Coturnix japonica: one gene and its partner. The protein of the gene in region 1 purifies or fractionates together with the protein of each later gene. This does not show direct contact. Links are inferred from orthologs where the notes say so. Each region holds a gene or a part of one and is shown in the gene's direction. Other genes may lie near its edges.

Region 1 (4,489 bases):
TTTTTGCATCAAACTTCATTTGATTAAAAAACAAAACTCGAAATGTTGGTAGTGCTTCTTGTTTTTCCTTCTGTTTTTTAATCACCCTCCTTTTCATCTCTTTGCTGCTGGGCTTTTTACTGCGTGTTTTCGTGAAGCTCGTTGCTATTTCCCCTTCACTTCTTTCCTCTCTCACCACTGTTTCCTTCCTTTCTTGGTGAGCAGTGATGTTCTGCCCTGTTTCTTCATAAAGTTTCTCCCGATGAGCATTCCCTGTTGGTGGGTTCTTGTTCTCCTCTGCTCCCTGATCCTTTCTGCCAGTTTCCATGTTTATTGCTCCCCTGTTTAGAGAGGTTACCCACCCAGCGCAGTCACATTTCCTCAGGGTGGTTAACAGAGCAACAAGTGTGAGTTCAGAACAGCCAGAAAGAAACAGGAAGCGCTGCTTGAGCAAGCAGGGTTGTGTGGGACCTGCTTCTCTGGGCCGCAGGCTGAGCATGGCCCACAGCATGTCTTGGCCTCACCGCTCTCCTCCTGCATCACTTCTCACGTGGAGATGGTGGTGCTAATGTAGGGTGTGGTAGTGGTGTGTGTCTCTTTAGAAAGCTCTTGTGCTACTGGAGCAGAGCAAACTATCATCTCTGTGTGCCTAATGGTTTGTGACCCCCCAGCCTGTGGTGTCAGCATCAGCCTCAGGAAGTCTAGTTTATCCTTTCAGAAGTGGTCATTTCCAAGAAATGCTGTTGTGCTCTCCTTGTCAGTGTTCTGAGCGGTAGGGAAGGGAAGCTGAAGTGCTGCTGGGATGGACTGGTAGCTTTCAGTGCTCTGGCAGAGCTGTGTGGGTGTGGCACTGAGGAACACAGTTAGTGGGAATGGCAGGGGTAGGTTGATGGTTGGACTAGATAGTCTTAGAGGTCTTTCCCAACCTTAATGATTCTCTAAGTGTAAGGTCCCGTGCTCAGAACATTGCCAAAACAGCAAGGAATTCACCAGCAAGGAACTGAAATGGTAGGATTTGATGGGGGGTTGTGGAGCTGCTGCAGGAAGCAGCCCTCGTTACGTCCCTAAAGTGGGCTGCAAGCGTGCCGAAACCACTGAAGCCAGGCTGTGAGGTGCAGATCTTTTGAATCAAAGGGCCCTGGGCAACCTGATCTAGTAAAGGTGTATGTTTGGTGGCCCTGCCAGGCAGGGGGGTTGGAACTACATGATCCTTGAGGTCGCTTCCAACCCGGGTCATTCTGTGACTCTGTGTGCGCTCACCCCGATCCCCGAGTGTCAGTGCGCGGGGAGGAGCCTCTGCCCGCGGCCTCGGCCCCGCTGTGGCAGCAGGGCGGAGCAGCAGCCCCGCTCCCTGCCGTCCTCTCTCCGCCCGCCCCGCGTGCCGCCGCCCCACTAAACTACGTTTCCCGTAGTGCCGTGCGGTTGGCGGCGCGAAGCTCGCTCTGCCTTGTCCCCTGCGGGCCGCGGTAGCAGCCGGCGGGGGCGGCTGTCAGGCGGTGACGGCGGCGGGCGGGACGCGCCCAGGTTGTGCCGCTGCCGGGACGCGGCTGGGCGCGGCGGCGGCGGCCGGTGTCGGTGTGGGCGGCGCTGCACGGCGCGGCAGACGCGGCCCGGCCATGGACGAGCAAGCGGGGCCCGGCGTTTTTTTCAGCAACAACAACAACAACAACGCGCTCCTGCTGCCGCCGCCGACGGGCGGGCCGGGGCTGGAGCCGGGCGAGGCGGCGGCGGCCGCGGCGGGAGGCGGCGGCGCGGGGGTCTCCTCCGGCGGAGTCGCCGCGCCGGTGTCGGCGTCGCGGGCTCAGTACAGCGTGCCGGGCATCCTGCATTTCCTGCAGCACGAGTGGGGCCGCTTCGAGGCGGAGCGCGCCGAGTGGGAGGCGGAGCGGGCGGAGCTGCAGGTAACGCCGCCACCCCGGCCCCCCTCCCCGCTCCCCAGTGCGCCCCCGGCCCGCGGGGGGTGGGGGGTGGAGCGCCTCCCCCCGGCCCCGGTTCTTCGCCGCCGCCCGGAGGGGCGTGACATGGCGGCGGCCTGCGGGGGGCGGCCGGGTGGGCCGTGGGCGGGAGGAGTCGGCTCCGCGACGCCGGGGCTGAGGGGCGCGTTGCGAGAGCTCCGATAGCGATCTTGTGGTTTAGGGAACTTGTGAAGTGCTGGCCCGCAGCCACCGCGGTCGGGCGCTCCGGGATGCGCGCCTCGTATTAACGCTAATAACAGAGGGTAATAACAGAGGGCGGCGCGGCCTGCACCGCGGTGCTGCTTCGGCTTTGTTCACGAGCAAATCTCGGTTGTAAATCTTAACCGCCCGCAGCGCCGGGAGCCCCTTGTGGGTCCTTCCCAGCGCCGTGCTCGGGGCAGGGAGCGCTTCCTCTTGGGTCTCATTCCCTTCCTCTTCCTTCCTGGCAGTTCTGTTCTTTCTGTTCCTTTCCTTGAAAGTATCGTCTTTGTCGAGAGTCTAAAGTCTGTTTAACGGCAAGAACCGCTTATCTCTTTCGTTGTTATTGTTTCATTTTTCTTCGTTTTCGTTTCAAGTGAGGAGGAAAGTCGGTTCCTTAGCCGTACTTCCAATGACAACATCAGGCAAACCCTCGTGGAGGGGAGTGGTGGCTGCTCCCCGTGTAGGAGTGCAAAGGAAGTGGCCATAAGCACAGGAGAGATGCGGTTTGTGTTTTAGCTTCAGTGATTTGGTGAAAGATTTGCTCGTAACATGGTTAGCGGGCACAGTGGCGGTGGGTTGATGGTTGGACTAGATGATCTTAGTGGTCTTTTCCAACCTTATTATTCTGTGATTCTATATGTTGCTCACAACATCCGGTAAATATGATGTAGAAAGTAACTAGTTCAACTGCACATAATAACAACGTTGCTCGTCGCACCCTAAGGTATTTATGAGACTCCACTGGGTATTTTTTCATTGCTGATAGGAATCTCACAGGGTGCTCTGGAGGAAAACAAGTTCCTTGGGACCAAAGCGATTCTGCCGATGCCCAGCAGCAGCAGAGCTGTATGTGCCCTCAGTGTCCCCCCAGAGGCCATTCCTGCATCCCACCTCCCCAGTGTCCCTCTGGGGAGCAGTGGGTGTCAGAGCTGAGCTAGCATGAGAAGGGGCCAAGCACATGCGTGATGTGCCAAAGTCATGCGCTGTCAGTGGCAGGGCAGGAGCACAACCCCAATACAAGCTGTTTGCTGGAACTCCTTCGACTCTTGCCAAAATGTCTCAATAAAGCTATAATTAGCTGTGACTGGCATCGCCACAAGCTGCAACAGCATTTATCTACTGCAGAGTCATGTTCAGGAAGGTGCAAAATTCTTGACTGTCCCTGCAGACATTGGGTGTGTGACGTCTGCCACGACCGTTCTCAGCCGAATGCTCTTTGATCCGTATGAGAGGTTTGTGTTGTGGCTTCGGCAGCAGCGAGGGGGCTCTGAGCAATGGTACATGCACAGCCCCACAATGAGCAGCATTAATTAAAGGCAGATTCCACGTTCCTCTTGAAGCCCTTCATGGGCCTGGATGCTGTGGATTGTTTAACAGAATAATGGCAGTCAGAGGTCATGCAGTTTCTGTCTCTCGAGATAAAGATGCAGTGCTCTGATTGTACTCCAAGGTCTTCTGGCCAGTGTAAATTAAATGCTAGGCTGTCTGCTCTCTTGGGAGGCCATGTGGCAGAGATCCTGCTTTGTACGGCATTCTCTGTGTGCCATACATTTTATGTGTAGTGCATCTTGCTCCTCAAAGGCAGACTTATGATCTCTGGTTCCTTACCACTGTGATACTTAAGTCCCTCAGATGTTGCTCTGCTTGGCTGCTGCTCTGTGCTCGACGGTTAGTTAAGCTATACTCTTTCTGAAAAAAACACCTTGTAAGTCAATCCTACTGCGATTTCCTGCCTTCCTTTTCTTCCCCTCTGGGCTTCTTTTCCTTTTCTCTTTTTTTTCCCCCTCCCTTTGCAGTTACTTGTGTGGAACTCCACGTGATGCTCAGCACACCTTCCTGTTGTGCTGCAGGCTGCCTGCTCAGGTGCCCCCCACCCTTGCTGCAGTTAAAAACAAACGAGTTGATATGCTGGGAAACTGGTTCTGTTCATACTTGCTGGCCTAGTTGCTGCTTTAACAAAGTTTTTTTTTTCTGCCTGTTTGCCTATTCTACTTATCATTTGCTTTCCCTGGCAAATATCTGTGTTTACTCTGATTTTCTAATTATTTTTCTTTAATCTTTAAAAATGGTTCTTGCCTCTGTTATATAATCTTCCCCATTCAGAGGCCTTCAATATTTATATCTCCGTGAGTACCATCAGCAAGCTGCATGTTTTGAGGCAGACTGAAAGCAGTCGCACAGGGCTTCCCTCTATGCTTATCTGCTAATTATGGATTTCATTATTAACTCTTGCTTCGTGTTTACGGTACTTCGACATCTGCAGATTGAAGAACTATCCCAAGAATAAGCTTTCGTGGTGCCTTGTAGTGGTAATTCACTGAGTACTGACTGGATGAATTATCCTCCTAGTGTTA
Region 2 (4,655 bases), about 15 Mb from region 1:
TTTACATAGAAGAAACTCTGGAAAAAGAGAGATGATCCCTGAAAAGGCCTCCACTCAGAAGAAAAGTCATTCTCCTCAAGGCTCAGACACCTCACAGCTTTGTGGGCTGCAAGGGAATTGAGAGACCACGTCGTCTTCAGCGCAACAGATGTCATTTCTGAGGGCTCAGAATCTTGCTTTCCAAGAAGGATCTGGTTCACGCTTCATGTATGAAATAGAGATATTTATCACAGGTGGGAACATGCTTCATGTCCATGGAAACAAACATTCATAAAAGAAAACAACGTTTCAACTCCTGGTACTTTTTATCAGCAATCCAAAGTACGTAGTTTGTTCTGAAGCAGGGCAGCATATCAAGAGTAATTTCAACCTCTTTAAGACATAATCAAGCAAGACGATAAATAGCAGTTTTTTTGGAAACAATGTATTCAGGGAATAACCCCTCAGAGCAAGACTGGTGCTCTGCTGCCACCTACAGGGAGAGGATGGAATCACCCTCGGTACTATTCCACATGGAAACACCTTAGTGAAGAAACGGAGCTTGCACTTGTGGTCCTAAACCCCTTAACCAAACGGCAATTCTTCAAAGGCTCAGCAGCATTTACCCCAACATTCTGCCACGATTCAGCCTCCAGCAGCTTCTTTTCTCCACCGTAACCTCCCCAGAGTTAACAAAACCCTCCAGAGTGTTGATGAAGGAAAGGAAGGACCTCGGTGTGAATAAGTTCAGCTGCAACTTCAGTTTCTAGATGCTTGTGTTGCTGATCACACAACTCTTTGTTTCGTACTGAGGTGCTCACCTGTTTTTAGATCAGTAAGTGGAAGTGATGAGGATTATCAGTAGGGACAGTCCCTGTCCTGTACTGCTTTGCAGCAGCTCATCTGTTCTTTACTCTTTTTGTAGCATTATGACCAGGAAGAGATCTGCCAGTCTGATGGGGTAGAGGAGAACCATGGACATCTAAAGATCAAGAAGGGGGCTGCTGGCCGGGAAAACCCAGACTGCTAAATCAGTCTATGAGAACAGTACGATTCTTCTCACTGCTCCCTGCAAATTCTGGAGGGCAGAACAGTCAGAAACGATGGTAAGAGGGTAAGAAGAACAAGATAACGTGCCGGCACCTCCCGGCCTAAATCTAGTTCTCAAACAAGAAGACTGGAAGTGCATGCTGGCTCTAAGCACAACGGAGCAAGCAGCAAGCCTCAGCCCTAAGCTACCTTCGATATTAGAGAGGCTTTTGTTTTGACCAAACACAGTGAGGTAAAACAAGGTGACTGTGACAGCAACAGCTTTACACTGTGCTTCCTCCACAGCCCTGAGGTAACACCACAGCGCGGGAAGTGCTGCAGGACCCCGCGCGGCCTGTTCCTTTAGGTGTCCGCGCAGCTCGCCTGCACGAAGGGAATTCTTGGCTCCCAGCTCTCAGGCGCTGCGCAGACAGCTCTATGCGTGACGTGCCGCCTGGCGCCGGCTGTGAGGACCCGGTGTCGCTGCGGGGCTGTGGCGGCGTGTTCTGGAAGCTTCGCGGCTCCGTGAGCTGAGCGGGGCGAATCCGTCCCCATCCGCTCGGACCGGGGGTGTGTCGGCGGCGAGCGGCCATGCCGGAGAACACGGGACACAAAGCGCACGGCGGGGCCGGGAATCGGGCCAAGGGCACGTACCAGGACCGGGACAAGCCCTCCCAGATCCGCTTCAGCAACATCTCCGCCGGCAAAGGTGAGGGCCGCGGGGCATCGGCGCTGCCTGATGGTAGGCCGCTGTGTTAATAGGCCGCTGTGCTGATAGACCGCTGTGCTGATAGACCGATGTACTGATAGGCTGATGTACTTACAGGCCGCTGTACGCTCTGCTCGCTCCTGCCGCCTTAAAGCGGGAAGGCTCGGCCAGCTTCAGGGGCAAGCTGCAAAAATGGCCCCGTTGTATTATTGTATTATTGCTGTTCTGTTCTTGAGTGTGACTCGGTGCTGGTAAAATGAGGAGGGTGCCTTTGTAGTGGGAGACGCTGTTGAGGATGGTGTATGAGTGGTTGTAGCTCTGTAGATCATCTTGTAAATGGCGTTCTTCTCTTTCCAGCTGTCGCTGATGCCATTAGAACGAGCCTCGGACCAAAGGGAATGGATAAAATGGTAAGGCTTTTAATGGAAATACAAAAACTGAGATTGCTGAAGAGACTGTCATGCCCTGTGTAACTCACCAATGTGCTCCTTTGTCTTAAGCTGCTTTTCCAAGCTTGGAAAGCACTCCTTTGTTTTTATGATCAAATGTTATTTCTTTGTAGTAAAATGTAGCTTAAATTCTTATCTCAGTTTTCCTCACAAGGTTATTTGTCAAGCTGTCTGACGCTGAATCACGATAAACATTACTAGCTGCCAACCAGTGCTGTTTCTCCTTCTCAGATTCAGGATGCTAAAGGAGACGTGACAATCACTAATGATGGTGCTACTATCCTGAAACAGATGCAGGTTTTACACCCCGCAGCCAAAATGGTAAATACTTGTAACATCACTTGCACAACGGTACACGGTAGAGGTTCATTTCTGGGACAAGTGAACACAGATTGTAATGTCTCACGTGGGTGTCGTCTGTGATAGAGCAACAGCCTTTCTGCTGAGTGCTTCAGGTCTATTGACATTGATTGTGAGATGCGTTAAAGGATTCCAGGTCCTTATTTCTTACTGCTTAGGAATAATCTTTTCTGGATACGGTTGAAGATATAAAAGGTTTTTGACCCAAAGCTTTTCTTATCTGAGAAAGAAAAGTTGGTGATGTCCTGAACCAGTAGGACAAAGGAGAGTCAAAGAAGAAAACAAATGACATGATGATCTGGTGATCCTAGGATACAGCTTTTATTTTGTTGGAGGCTTCTGTTATTGCTCCAGCCAAATATGCATACACGTATGAGAAGCTGCAAGTTAGAAAAGATAAGCCCTGGTACTGTGGGTAATTCTGGTAGTGCTGTGTTCTGTCATATCTTTTTTATTTCTAACTGTCAGAGTTTTCAGTGAAGTCACATTACATTTAAACTCTCGTCCATTTAGTTGGTAGAGCTGTCAAAAGCACAAGATATTGAAGCTGGGGATGGTACTACATCTGTTGTTGTCATTGCCGGAGCTCTTCTGGATGCCTGTTCCAGACTCCTTCAGAAAGGCAAGCATATTTATTTTATATATATAACATATAATACATATTTCATATATAAGACTGGTTTGGAGAGAGGAGGAAAGACCGCTGGTTTGCAAGGGTGACCTAACAACCTTCTATGTTATTCACAGGAATTCACCCCACCATCATTTCAGAGTCATTCCAGAAAGCTTTGGAGAAAGGTATTGAGGTATTGACCAACATGGCACAGCCAGTGGAACTGAGCGACAGAGAAACCCTGCTGAACAGTGCAACTACATCACTGAACTCAAAGGTATGGCTGATACGTGAACAATCTGCAAAGCTCTCAATGGTTTTATTTTAAGAGTCAAAGAAATAAAGTCAAATTCGTTTTCCAAAGTCCCTGAGCTTATTTCTTCCCACCAGTGGGGCTCTTCTTTCCTCTTATTAAGAAGATAACCACGTTGATGCACCTGCCTGATGGACAGAGAGGGGAATTGTTGGTTTTTTTTCCAAGATTATAAAGTCAAACTAAAACAGAATAAGAACCTTGAGAAACTGCTGGCTGTTTTTGATCAGTGTTAAATCATGCATTGCTGATGTATTTTTCTCCCTTCCCTCATTAAATCCTTTAGGTTGTGTGTCAGTATTCCAGCTTACTTTCTCCCATGAGCGTGGATGCAGTGATGAAGGTGATTGACCCATCTATGGCTAACAGCGTGGACCTCAGAGATATTAAAATAGTGAAGAAGTTGGGGTAAGAAACAATCTTATTTAATTATCTAAATTATTTAGATATTCTTATTTAAATCTAAATTAATTATCTTAATTATAGGCCTGTGTCATTGTGGAATTGCTTCCCAAGGCACTAATAGCCACGGATTGTTTTTGTTTGCAGAGGAACAATTGACGACTGTGAGCTGGTGGAAGGGCTGGTCCTGACTCAGAAGGTGGCCAACACAGGTGTAACTAGAGTGGAAAAGGCCAAAATTGGCCTAATTCAGTTCTGCCTCTCTGCTCCAAAGACAGATGTAAGTTTAACTCAAGTGAGAAAACGTAAATGTAACAGCAAAATACGGATCTTGTTTAAGATGTGGTAATGGCAGCTCTATTCCACAGCTGTAATGAAGGCCTGCTAGTAATGAACCCCCATTACTCATAACTCTTAAACAATTTGTAGCTGGCATGAGAAAACAGTTCAGAACTCCAGTATCTCTCATAGAAACAAATTCTAATAGTACATTTGGCTGTAATCTGTTTGTACGTACTTTAAATCACAGGCTATTAAATCAAAGAATATATAGCATCCCAATGCTTATAAAATGAGCACTCGTTCATGATACTTGTTTCTTTTTCAATAGATGGACAACCAAATTGTTGTTTCTGATTACGCTCAAATGGACAGAGTACTGCGTGAGGAGAGAGCTTATATTCTAAACTTAGTGAAGCAAATTAAGAAGGCTGGATGCAACGTGCTGCTGATCCAGAAGTCTATTCTGCGGTACGTCAGTGCTGGTTTGCTCACCTGCTTTGGTCGTTTGGGGAACAGCGG

The links.
Region 2: the proteins of STRN (region 1) and CCT4 purify together in Homo sapiens (affinity purification with mass spectrometry; 3 studies listed by BioGRID and IntAct, with this or other methods). This does not show direct contact. The link is inferred for Coturnix japonica from reciprocal best matches to the Homo sapiens genes STRN and CCT4.

What each region holds. Positions count from the first base shown.
Region 1 is NC_029518.1:28,841,573-28,846,061, forward strand, and holds the start of STRN (striatin), read left to right. Parts: upstream 1-1,506; 5' UTR 1,507-1,595; coding exon 1,596-1,880; intron 1,881-4,489. UniProt on the Homo sapiens protein: Calmodulin-binding scaffolding protein which is the center of the striatin-interacting phosphatase and kinase (STRIPAK) complexes.
Region 2 is NC_029518.1:13,361,164-13,365,818, forward strand, and holds the start of CCT4 (T-complex protein 1 subunit delta), read left to right. Parts: upstream 1-1,454; 5' UTR 1,455-1,599; coding exon 1,600-1,717; intron 1,718-2,074; coding exon 2,075-2,127; intron 2,128-2,397; coding exon 2,398-2,487; intron 2,488-3,039; coding exon 3,040-3,148; intron 3,149-3,273; coding exon 3,274-3,416; intron 3,417-3,738; coding exon 3,739-3,860; intron 3,861-4,001; coding exon 4,002-4,134; intron 4,135-4,464; coding exon 4,465-4,604; intron 4,605-4,655. UniProt on the Homo sapiens protein: Component of the chaperonin-containing T-complex (TRiC), a molecular chaperone complex that assists the folding of actin, tubulin and other proteins upon ATP hydrolysis.